Linked DNA regions of Drosophila melanogaster. The protein of the gene in region 1 purifies or fractionates together with the protein of each later gene. This does not show direct contact. Each region holds a gene or a part of one and is shown in the gene's direction. Other genes may lie near its edges.

What was found. The genes of interacting proteins can lie anywhere in the genome.
Region 2: the proteins of Mcm6 (region 1) and chm purify together in Drosophila melanogaster (affinity purification with western blotting; one study listed by BioGRID). This does not show direct contact.

Annotation. Positions count from the first base shown.
Region 1 is NC_004354.4:6,672,614-6,678,690, forward strand, and holds Mcm6 (minichromosome maintenance 6), read left to right. Parts: upstream 1-1,773; 5' UTR 1,774-1,892; coding exon 1,893-4,346; 3' UTR 4,347-4,563; downstream 4,564-6,077. Other genes in the region: CG3198 (uncharacterized protein), read right to left, coding at 7-950, 1,024-1,125; ND-ASHI (NADH dehydrogenase (ubiquinone) ASHI subunit), read right to left, coding at 4,750-4,962, 5,039-5,268, 5,387-5,471; Fum1 (fumarase 1), read left to right, coding at 5,917-6,003. UniProt on the Drosophila melanogaster protein: Acts as a component of the Mcm2-7 complex (Mcm complex) which is the putative replicative helicase essential for 'once per cell cycle' DNA replication initiation and elongation in eukaryotic cells.
Region 2 is NT_033779.5:7,409,875-7,415,848, forward strand, and holds the start of chm (chameau), read left to right. Parts: upstream 1-2,542; 5' UTR 2,543-2,632; coding exon 2,633-3,434; intron 3,435-3,507; coding exon 3,508-4,133; intron 4,134-4,199; coding exon 4,200-4,357; intron 4,358-4,417; coding exon 4,418-4,790; intron 4,791-5,974. Other genes in the region: CG15818 (uncharacterized protein), read left to right, coding at 1,081-1,932.

The DNA of each region.
Region 1 (6,077 bases):
CCTTACCGTCTGCTATCGTAGGAGTGGAAGCGCTGCACTCGACCCTCACGTCGACGTCGTTCCTCCTGCTCGCGCTCCTTCTGTCGCGCCTCGTTGATCTCGGCGACGGCGTTGCGCAGTTTGGAGTAGCCCAGATGCTGTTTACCCATCAAATGGTCCTCGATCCGCTGCTGTGCATCGCCGACTATCAGGAAAGCGCCACAGATTTCGCACACCTTCATTTGTTTCTCGGGCATGGCATCATGCGACCAGCCAGCCGCCTTGCTATCCGTCTTCTCTGACGTTTTGTCCTCGCTGGCTGCACCAGCTGCTTCACCGGCATCGTCAGTCGTTGTGACAGCTGCTTGTGCGGAACTTGGAGCTGCATCCGGCGCTTCATCTAGCGTGGTGGCGGCTGGAAGAGGAGTAGTTGGACTTTCTTCGCTGGGATTTGTGACCGGACTGCTGCGCGGGTGATGCTGCAGCTCGTCCTCCGCTGACTTGGTCAGGCTGATGCTGCTGATGGCCTTGTGATGGGCCTCGTATTGCTGTACCAACTGTTCCTTCTCCTCCTTGAGCTCCTCGCACACGGTCATTAGATCTTGGGCCTGGTCCACGTCACCCCGAATGCCGGCTTCCTCTGCCTCAGAGAGCAGCTTATTGATCCGGGCCGTCAGATTCGCAAGCTGCTCCTGGTGCCTGCTCAGTGGCGCCGGTACATTGGGCTGATCCCTTTGCATTAGCAGCAAACGCTGTTTTCCCTTCTGGATCTTTCGATCCACATCGTGCAGCATAACATTGCAAAAGCGCAGGAATTCATCCTCGTACTGACGCTTCCGCTGCGAGGGTCGAGCATCCTCGTAGAGATGTCGGGCTTCCTCGTCGTGGATGCGGGCACAGGGGCCCAGATCTGCGCGCGTATTTATGAATAGATCGTGCGGACAGAACTTAACGTTGTAGAACTGACAGAACTGCGGACAAAAAAAAAAACCCCCATTATTTTGGAGGTGGCTCTTTGGCGCGCCACATCCTGAGCGTACTCACCTCCGGATCCTCCCAATTGACCTTGGCGCCCGCCTCCGAGGGATGCAGGTTGCGATTCCTGCCCATCAGCTCGTCGAGCATCTGCCTGGCGGCGTCCACCATTTTCCGGGGCTCCTTCGCAATTTGTGGGGACAAAACTCCGAAGGGGGCGGTGGTCCCAGTGAATCAAATGAATCCAATGGTACCACACCGACTTCTATGGCCACAACGGTGCCGGCGAACAGGTGAACACACGTGCAACGCTGTGCTCCTGCTGTTTAGCCAAAAAATTAGCCAAAATAGAATCAATAAAATTATTTCACGAAATTCGCGTGGTATCGATTATTTCGGAATAAGCCTATCGGTGCACAGCGTTCCGCGACATGAGTGGGCGAACTATCGGTCTTAAAAACGTACTAAATTCTATAAGTTCATAAAATAAACAACTTAAGTTGAATGTTTTAATACTTTACTCGTATAAAATTATTCTTATAATTCATGTCATTCATCTCTTGGATTATTAAGTTATCCGATTAAGTTATTAAAACAACGTATCTCAATCAACTTTTGGACTATTTGATCTATTCAAAAAATTCGAAAACTACTTGTTGATTAGCAAGGGCAAGAAATTTAAGTAAGCTTTCAGCAATTAAAAAAATATATATTTTTATATATATTTGAACTAATAAATTAATGTGACCGTAAGACATGTTTACCTTTGCTCTTGAATAGCTGGCATCCCTGCGCACGAGCGTTGCCACCCCCAAGCAACTGTCAGAAAAAGGCGCCAAAACCGAGCAAAGCACGCAGCTGTAAACATTCGCAAGAAACGAAAGCAATCTCGGAATTTAGCGCGCAATTCACCAGTTTGAAGCAAGAAGTGACCCAAAATGGATGTGGCAGATGCTCAGGTTGGCCAGCTGCGCGTAAAAGACGAGGTGGGCATTCGGGCCCAGAAGTTGTTTCAGGATTTCCTCGAGGAATTCAAGGAGGATGGCGAGATCAAGTACACGCGCCCAGCCGCCAGCTTGGAATCCCCGGATCGCTGCACCCTGGAGGTCAGCTTCGAGGATGTGGAGAAATACGATCAGAATCTGGCCACCGCCATTATCGAGGAGTACTACCACATCTATCCGTTCCTTTGCCAATCCGTTTCGAACTACGTTAAGGACCGGATTGGACTGAAGACCCAGAAGGATTGCTATGTGGCCTTCACGGAGGTGCCGACGCGTCACAAGGTTCGCGATCTGACCACCTCCAAAATCGGCACCCTCATCCGCATCTCCGGCCAGGTGGTGCGCACCCATCCCGTACATCCGGAGCTTGTTTCCGGCGTCTTCATGTGCCTCGATTGCCAGACGGAAATTCGGAACGTAGAGCAGCAGTTCAAGTTCACCAATCCCACCATTTGCCGCAATCCCGTGTGCTCCAATCGCAAGCGTTTCATGCTGGATGTGGAGAAGAGTCTGTTCTTGGACTTTCAAAAGATTCGCATCCAGGAGACGCAAGCCGAGCTGCCGCGTGGCTGTATTCCCCGCGCGGTGGAGATTATCCTGCGCTCGGAGCTGGTGGAGACCGTTCAGGCTGGCGATCGCTATGATTTCACGGGCACTCTGATTGTGGTGCCCGATGTGAGTGTCCTGGCCGGAGTGGGCACACGGGCGGAGAACAGTTCACGCCACAAGCCCGGCGAGGGCATGGATGGCGTCACTGGCCTAAAGGCACTGGGCATGCGAGAGCTCAACTATCGGATGGCCTTCCTTGCCTGCAGTGTTCAGGCAACGACAGCACGTTTTGGCGGCACCGATCTGCCCATGTCGGAGGTGACAGCCGAGGATATGAAGAAGCAGATGACAGATGCCGAGTGGCACAAGATCTATGAGATGTCCAAGGATCGCAATCTCTACCAGAATCTAATTAGCAGCCTCTTTCCCTCGATCTACGGCAACGATGAGGTCAAGCGGGGCATTCTTCTGCAGCAATTCGGTGGCGTTGCGAAGACCACCACCGAAAAGACATCGCTTCGTGGCGACATCAATGTGTGCATCGTTGGCGATCCCAGCACGGCCAAGTCACAGTTCCTCAAGCAGGTATCCGACTTCTCGCCGCGTGCGATCTACACCTCGGGCAAGGCATCCTCGGCAGCGGGCTTAACCGCTGCGGTTGTGCGCGACGAGGAGTCCTTTGACTTTGTCATCGAGGCGGGCGCCCTCATGTTGGCCGACAATGGCATTTGCTGCATTGACGAGTTCGATAAGATGGATCAGCGCGATCAGGTGGCCATTCACGAGGCCATGGAACAGCAGACCATATCGATTGCACGCGCCGGCGTACGAGCCACACTCAATGCGCGCACTTCGATTCTGGCCGCCGCCAATCCCATTAATGGTCGCTACGATCGCTCCAAGAGTTTGCAACAAAATATTCAGCTATCGGCACCGATTATGTCGCGATTCGATCTGTTCTTCATTCTCGTGGACGAATGCAATGAGGTGGTGGACTATGCCATTGCTCGCAAGATCGTTGATCTGCACTCGAACATCGAGGAGTCCGTGGAGCGGGCATATACGCGCGAAGAGGTCCTTCGCTATGTGACATTTGCGCGGCAATTTAAGCCGGTTATTAGCCAGGAGGCCGGACACATGCTGGTCGAGAACTATGGCCATTTGAGGCAGCGCGATACGGGCACGTCGGGCAGGAGCACCTGGAGGATAACGGTGCGTCAGCTGGAGTCCATGATTCGACTGAGCGAGGCCATGGCCAAGCTGGAGTGCTCGAATCGCGTGCTGGAGCGACACGTCAAGGAGGCCTTCCGTTTGCTCAACAAGTCCATCATTCGCGTGGAGCAACCGGATATTCATTTAGATGACGACGAGGGTCTGGACATGGACGATGGCATTCAGCACGACATCGACATGGAGAACAATGGAGCAGCGGCCAATGTGGATGAGAACAATGGTATGGACACATCCGCCAGCGGCGCCGTGCAGAAGAAGAAGTTCACGCTTTCGTTCGAGGATTACAAGAATCTGTCCACCATGCTGGTGTTGCATATGCGCGCCGAGGAGGCGCGCTGCGAGGTGGAGGGCAACGATACGGGCATCAAGCGCAGCAATGTGGTCACCTGGTATCTGGAGCAGGTGGCGGACCAAATCGAATCCGAGGATGAGTTAATTTCTCGCAAAAATCTCATCGAGAAGCTTATCGATCGCCTCATCTATCACGATCAGGTCATTATTCCGCTCAAGACATCCACGCTGAAGCCGAGAATTCAGGTACAAAAGGATTTCGTGGAGGAGGACGATCCCCTGCTGGTGGTGCATCCCAACTACGTTGTGGAGTGATCCCAGCCGATCAACAGTTTATTACTATGCCCTAAATCTAGCTGGTTAAGTTTCTGTTTCCGCGTCTTGCTTTTTTTTGCTCACCCAAACAAACAATGTATTTAGGCAGTAAGTTTATAGTTTAGAGACATTATTGAAATCCATTAAGGATTTCTTGGTTCAGTTACGTTCCAAATCATTCATGTTTTCGCCGAAATAAACGTTCATCTCAAGATTCATTTCGTTTTTTGCTGCTCATTAAGAACGGAATGAAAAATGCAACCCAACATGCGCAGTCAAAATGATAGCAAATCCATGTTTTAGCTTGGTTTCCATTCATTTTAATTGTATAGATGCGTTGATTAATTGCCTATGAAATAAAAACGAGGCGCGCAGTGCGATCGAGAGCGTGATAGATACAATCCTACTTCTCGAAGGTGTAGTGCTTGACGCCAGGGCTGGGATATTGCTTGGCGGCCACGGGGCGGTACATCTTCTTGTCATCCAGCCAGTAGTAGAGTGCCAGGCAGCCGGACATCACGCCCAGGAAGCAGGCAAAGTAGTACGCATTGCTGTAGCGTGGCGGTTCGGCCTGCGACCAGCGATCCTCGCTGTACAGATCATGATCCGCCGAGATCTGCAATGGAAATGGATCAGGGTTTGACTCTTTTTTTATGCAGCAGCTGCTGCTAGCCGTTGATGTTGGCGCTTACGGGCTCGTGTTGGTTGCGCTTGTGCTCCGGATAGTCCCAGGGATAGTACGAGTCCTTGGCCTCCACACCCAGACCGTAGCCCAATTTGGGATAATCTCCGTAGCCCAGACCATCGTCCGCATACGGTTTGTACTCCTCCGGCAACAGATAGTACTTCTTGGCCGCCGCCAGGCGCTCCTTCTCCGTCTGTGGATACGGACCCGGCTTGTAGTCCTTATTCCAGCCAGCCACTAAAACGTAAATGGCGAGAAATTCGAATTTGTAGCCATTCGGTGCATGCAAAAGTTACGTAAACAAAACAGTGGGGCAGGTTGCACTGTTGCCAGCGCAGCCCCGATTCACACTTACTGCTGCGGATCGCCTGGCGAGCCACGACGGGATTGGCGGCGCACAGCTTTTGGGCCAAGCACACGGTTTTCACAAACGCCGACATTGCAGGCTTGTTTCCACTAAAAAAAAGTTCCTCTGAAGTTACGATTCCCGAAAAAACAGCTGTTCGCCTGCGGATGGCACACAAACGATAGGATACAGTGCCGCAACGGTCTGCTATCGATAGTTGTAGTTTCAAAAAAAACAAATAGAACTATCAACAGATTTTAAATTTGTTAGCTATGGAATAGGAATTTACAGTTAGTACTAAGGTAACTAGGTGTTTCTTAAAAATGTTTAGGATTTTTGTTTCTCAATTTTTATGAACTTAGGCAGCAATCGTTACAAAGTCGATAAGAACAATCGATGGTCCGATAGCTCTCACCCGCGCATCGAGGTGCTGTTGTTGTTTTTTGTTGTTGTTGGTGTTGTTGTGGTGGGCTCGTCCGTGAAAGATCACTTGCTTGCAAACTTATTTATTAATTACCGACTAAGGAATAAGCATAGAGATGGTGCTACCATTATTGCAACGCTCCACGCTTCGCGGCGTTCAACAAATGACGAAACCCTGGGCCGCCATTGGAAGTTTGCGTCTGGTAAGGATTCCAAGTGCTGTGCAAATTGGATATATATTTTGTAGCGAGATGGCAAAAATATTTTGCCTTATGTA
Region 2 (5,974 bases), on another chromosome or scaffold:
TTTAAATTTTATTTCTTACCATCTAATTTGAATTGTTATATATACATTTATTTTATTTATCGTTTAGTAAATTAAAAATATTAATTTTTTTTCTTGATCAATCATCTCATAATAAGTACAGCGAATGTTGAATAGATTCTATTTCAACGGAAGGATAACTTTATATTTACAAGCAAACATTACTTTATCAATTTTGTTAGTTCGTGATTAGAAACCCTATAAGTAATTCAAAAACTAACACACAAGCAACAAATTTAATTGTGGTCACTAAATTAGGGAACCACCCTAGATAAAAAAGCTTTATCATTTCCGGCAGATGTGAATCATTTTAAATTTCTACATATATCATTCTTCTGACTGTGCTAGCTTTCGATTATTTCAACATAGGGGCGTAGATAAAATCTACAATTAACCAGATAATTTAATTGGAAACCTCCAGAGCAGTTAAGTTCAATAAACCGGTGAAAGTGGGCACAAAAAAGAAATTCCTGGAAGAGCAAACAAGTTGACATTAATTAATCAAGTGATGATTATCTAACATTACAGCCGTTACTCGTAGAGAAAAAAAGTATACCTCATTCGTTGATGAATATGCAACAGGTAAATGGAATTCTCATTTCGGATCATTAGTTGATCTGGCCATTTCCGTTTGTGATTTTGGTTACCATAAAAGCTATAAAGATAAGATCGAGCGTGCAGATCCTATAAACGCAACGCAAGTTTGTTTCAGAAGATGGACACGCCCAATATATTTTGATTTTATTATTTAATTTGTTAAATTCTTTATATATACGCACTCCCGCTAGCTGAGTGATCTAATAGTGGAGGATATCGACTTTAGCGCTGATTTCAGAAATGAAGTATGTCATTAAGTTGAAGTACATATCTACTTTACTACCATACCATATTGACAACGCTTTACAAATAATGATAACTTATGATACCACATCAAATTTCTTGTGACAATTTTAATAAGAAGATCAAATATGCTTATCAACCATATTGCCGGGCCTTTAAAAAGAGAGCCAATTACTTCAGTATCAGTTCTTTATCAAGCTTCAACCTCAGTGGTTGTCCAAAATGTTTAGCTCTACGAGAATTATTTTGTGCGCATTTCTATTGCTGTATCCTTACGGATCCCTGATAGAAGCCCAGGAGGGCAGGCGCTATGTGTGTCTATTATCAGATCCTCCCAATCAGTGCAGTGAATATTGCGTATCCGCACTGCAGCCGGTCATCGATCACCTTTCGAAGGAGCAACAGGACTGGGGAGCCTGCGAGGTGAAACTTAATGGAAGCGTCGCGAAACTGGATAAGATCGAAGACCAGTTGACGGCGACACAAATCCAAATAGAAGCCCAGCAAGCATTCCTTGTGAACAACATTTCGAAGGCAATCAAAACCGAGGACCTTGAGCAAAAACTAAAGGATATCGAAGGCAATCAGACAGCGCTGAGTAATCAGTTGAAAGATGGACAGAAGAGGACGGAAAACCAGTTGACAGCCATCCAGAAGACTCTATCCGATATCGAAAGGAAACTCGTGCTGCAGAGATATCAACAGATAGGATCGAGATATTTCTACATCGAACACAACTTACAGGTGAACTGGAGGACCGCCGAGCAGAGGTGCATTGAAATGGGCGGCCACCTCGCAGCATTCCAAAATGCCGAGGAATACAACGCCATAGTGGGCCAATTGAACAAGGCGAACTACTGGCTGGGTGTCAACGATCTGGCCAAGCAGGGCGAGTTTATATCCTTGGCCTCCGGCAAACGAGCTACCTACTTCAAGTGGCGCAAAAATGAACCCAAATACAATAATCCTACCCAGCACTGCGCCTACGTTTTTGGGCACGAAAACATTATGATCGTTCTGTCCTGTACCACTGACGTTATGCATTTCATTTGCCAATCAGACAGTGATGTTTAGTTTTAAAGTATCAACACATGTATGAATGAATATTACAACAAAACCACAAATACTATAATTCACTTTACTGCATTTGATGCAAAAATTGATGGGAACATTTAATAACGCTTTTAGCAATAATTTTTCTTTGTGAGAGGGTTTAAGGGCAATTTTTTTTGACAACAAGTGATTGCCACAGATAGGAAATTATTTCGTTTCAAATTGTCAAAAAAGTCGACATGGCGCCGTAAATAAATTGGCTGAAATGAGTAATAGGCTTAAGAGATTGCTGTTATCGAATTTATTTTATTTGTTTTTCTGGTTTTGGTTCCCCGCACGTCGTAAATTAAGATTGATTCCTCGTTAAGATTATTAAATTTATCGTACTCGACAAGCACTCTTTATAAGCAACAAATGAATAAAGAAATTTTCGACTTTAATCACAAAAACTGGCTTATATCAATTTTAAAAACTCCTATTAAACAAGGCAATAAACTGTGTAGGTTCGTATTTCAATTAATATTTGCTAACTAAAATATTTTTGGAATACGATATTTTTGTGCCCTAGTTGCACATCTCTAGCATATTATAAGCCGATAGCTCCGGCCGATTCCCATGGCGTTCCGCTTGGCATCCACCTCTGGCCACTCTAATCAAAACAATACAGGAAAACAGGCATTTTTGTGTACAAATATTAAAAAAAACATTCTGCGCTACAAAAATGGCCTTGGAGTCCGGCAGCAGCAGCTCGGAGTCGGGCAGCTCATCCACAAGCGGATCCACCAGTTCGGAAACGGGCAGCAGCTCGGACACGGATTCCAGCAGTGCGACGCCGGAGGAGAAGCCATCCACGAATTCCTCCGCCAAATCCCAGACGCAAACACAACAACAAACTAATTCCGGAAATGCACAGAGAAGAAAGCCTGTTCCTGCGGCGTCGGAGGATAAACCCAAGCCGAGCGTAGCGCCATCTAGCAAAAAAGTAAACAATCCTCCCAAAAGTAAACTCTCCAGCGATGACGACGAATATGAGGACTCGGCGCCGCCGGCCAAAAAGAACTCACGTGCAATGGGCAGTTCCACTGTAACAGCGGCAGCTGCCGCCTCAGCAGCCAGGAGAAAACCACCCGCGTCCGTCAACAAGCCAAGCAATCCCGCTAACAAACCGAGCAATCCTACCCAGCGATCGGCCAACAACAACACAAATCGATCACTGGAGAACGGCGAGGGCAAGCGACCCTCGCTCTCCTCCTCGTCCAATAGCACAGATGACTCTATGAAGATCGTTAAAAACGGGCGGAAGGTTCCCCTCAAAATGGCCAGCACGGTGAGGCCCAAACAAATCCGAGGAAAATTGCCGCCGGCAAAGAAAAACGGCGGGGGACCGGTGATCAGCAGTGACGGAAGTTCGGGCTCCGAGAGTGGCTCCAACTCGGGCGACGAATCAAGTTCAGGAAGCGAGTCTGAGGGAAGTGATTCCAGCAACTCCTACAGCTCGCAGCCAGTAAAAGGAGGAGCTAAAGGTAGGCAGGGTATAAAGTATAGAATTTATGTAAGGATTTTAATAATATTTAAATTTAACTCTTATTATTATAGGTAAGAGAAGCGGACCAACAAAAATCCAAAACTCCGACAGCGAAGAAGAGCGAAAAGACAAGGCCAATCCCATGAGGAAACTGACGCGATCACTCAGCATGCGAAGGACAAAACAGCAACCCAAACAGGAAACCGATTCTGAATCCGATGGAGACCTAGAAGATGACAAAATTATGATCTCCAAAAGTCCCGCCAAAAAGCCAGCGCCCTCGAATTTGAACGCCAGCAAAAGCAAAGTGAAAAGGGAACCAATCGGAATCAGCAGTGGCGTGCTGAGCTCCATTAAATCCCGACCCGTGTCACCGATTACCCAGACTGAGAAGAAGTGTCCCATCGAGGGCTGCGATTCATCCGGACATCTGAGTGGCAATTTGGATAAGCACTTTTTGCCGGAGGCCTGTCCTATCTATCACAACATGTCCGCCTCGGAGTGCAAAGAGCGTGCCAATGAGAGAAAACTGAGGAATGAACAGCGACTAAAGATGCCGGTTAACATTGTGACGGCGCCGGGTAACCAAAACACCAATCTCAAGACGCTCTCGCCTGAGCAGCGCGAGTTTCTGGCCAAGATTCGCGAGTCAAGGGCTAACTTTAAGCCGGCGAATAACAATTTTTTAGACTCGAAGGTGAGGATAGTGGGTTAGCTTGAAAGTCCATATGAGACTATTGCTAACTATTTGATTACGCTTCAGGTAAAGCTGGAAAAAGACGTAACGGACGAGGACCGGGAACCAAATCTGGCAGGCCTGGTGCCTGACTATGATTTGCAATTGTTCCGGGAAGCGCAAGCTCAAGCATCCGAAAGGATCGAAGACGAACTCAAGGACCTGCCCGTGGGAAAGGGAATAAAGTAAGTAGTAGTAATATAACAAACTTATGGAGATCAATTTACAACCCTTACGTCTGACAGATATATCAGCATGGGCAAGTACAAGATGAAGGTCTGGTATCAATCCCCTTATCCGGACGATGCTGCCCGCCTGCCCAAAATGTATATCTGCGAATTCTGCCTGCGCTACCAAAAATCAGAGACGGGCATCAAGCGGCATGCCGAGAAATGCGTCTGGCGGCATCCGCCGGGCGATGAGATATACCGCAAGGGCAAACTACAGGTGTGGCAGGTGGACGGGAAACGTTATAAGCAATACTGTCAGCATCTGTGCCTGCTAGCAAAATTCTTTCTGGATCACAAAACCCTCTACTACGATGTGGAGCCCTTCCTTTTCTACATTATGACGCTGGCCGATGTGGATGGATGTCATATTGTTGGTTATTTTAGCAAGGTAAGTAAAGTATTTATTCGTAATGTATATTTTCTTTGGTAATTGTTAAAAACTGAATATGCTAATATGCTAATCAAACATCAAGCAGTTGAAATAACAAATCCACTTTGATTTTCCAGCTCATTGAATTATAAATTTTAAGTTAAATATAATTTTAAGTTGAGTTACATATTGAAGCAGTTAAAGTATCAAAATGAATATTTAATAAGGAGCTTAATAGAGGGCTTAACTACAAAAATTAATGCTTCCCTTTATTCCTAAGCAATTGGAAACCAAAGCGGAAAATCTGATCCTGCTCTAATGATTTCGATTCCTAATTGCTTATTATTTGAATAGTCGCGCTGCAATTGTGCGCCAGAATTTTCCAGAACCTTTATGGTTATTCCCCAGCATAAAATTGAATAATAACATTTTACAGTTTTATGATTCCTTTATGTCTGGAGACGGAATAGAGATGCGAGGAATGTAGAAGCCGGTATCCCAGACTCCCAGAATGGCAGCCACAGCCCATGTACGGTGCATACATATGTACCGTCAAGCAGACTATATGGTTGTATCCAGATGCAGACAGTGAGCTCTGCCTTGACCATGCCCACCAAAAACAGCAGATGATTTTTCCATTTAATTTTTTTGTCAACGTTTTCGGGTAAATAAGCAACAGACAGAGAGAAACAAGCGGCGCGAACGAGAGAGTCATTTCCCCTGGCTTTAAAAAGCAGCCACGGTTTCTTGACCTCCCACCAGAATGTACGGAAAATACGGGTCCGGCGATACATTCACGGGCTTTGGCGGGATCCCACCTTCGGTTTGCAGTTTTACTGCAGAATGCAGAAAGTTTTTGGGCGCTGGCAGAGACTGGGTTTGTGTTACAAATTGCGCATGTCGTTGGCTGATGCTGCAGCTGCTCCTCTTGCTCTCCTCCCGATTCACTGCCCCTGCTCCCGATGATGCCCCTCTTTGCAGCTCCTTTTGTGAACCCTCGCTGTGCTGGCGCAGCATCCCGAGGCAGTCAGAATTTGGCAGTTTCTACACATACTACAAGTTTACATATATTTACTACGCTCGTGCTAGGACATTCATAATTTCTTTACTACCAGGACACGAAATGTACGCCCATGAAAATGTTTAAAGAATGTATTTCAACGGAGATATTGAAACATTTTTAAGCATATCTAAGGAAGTTA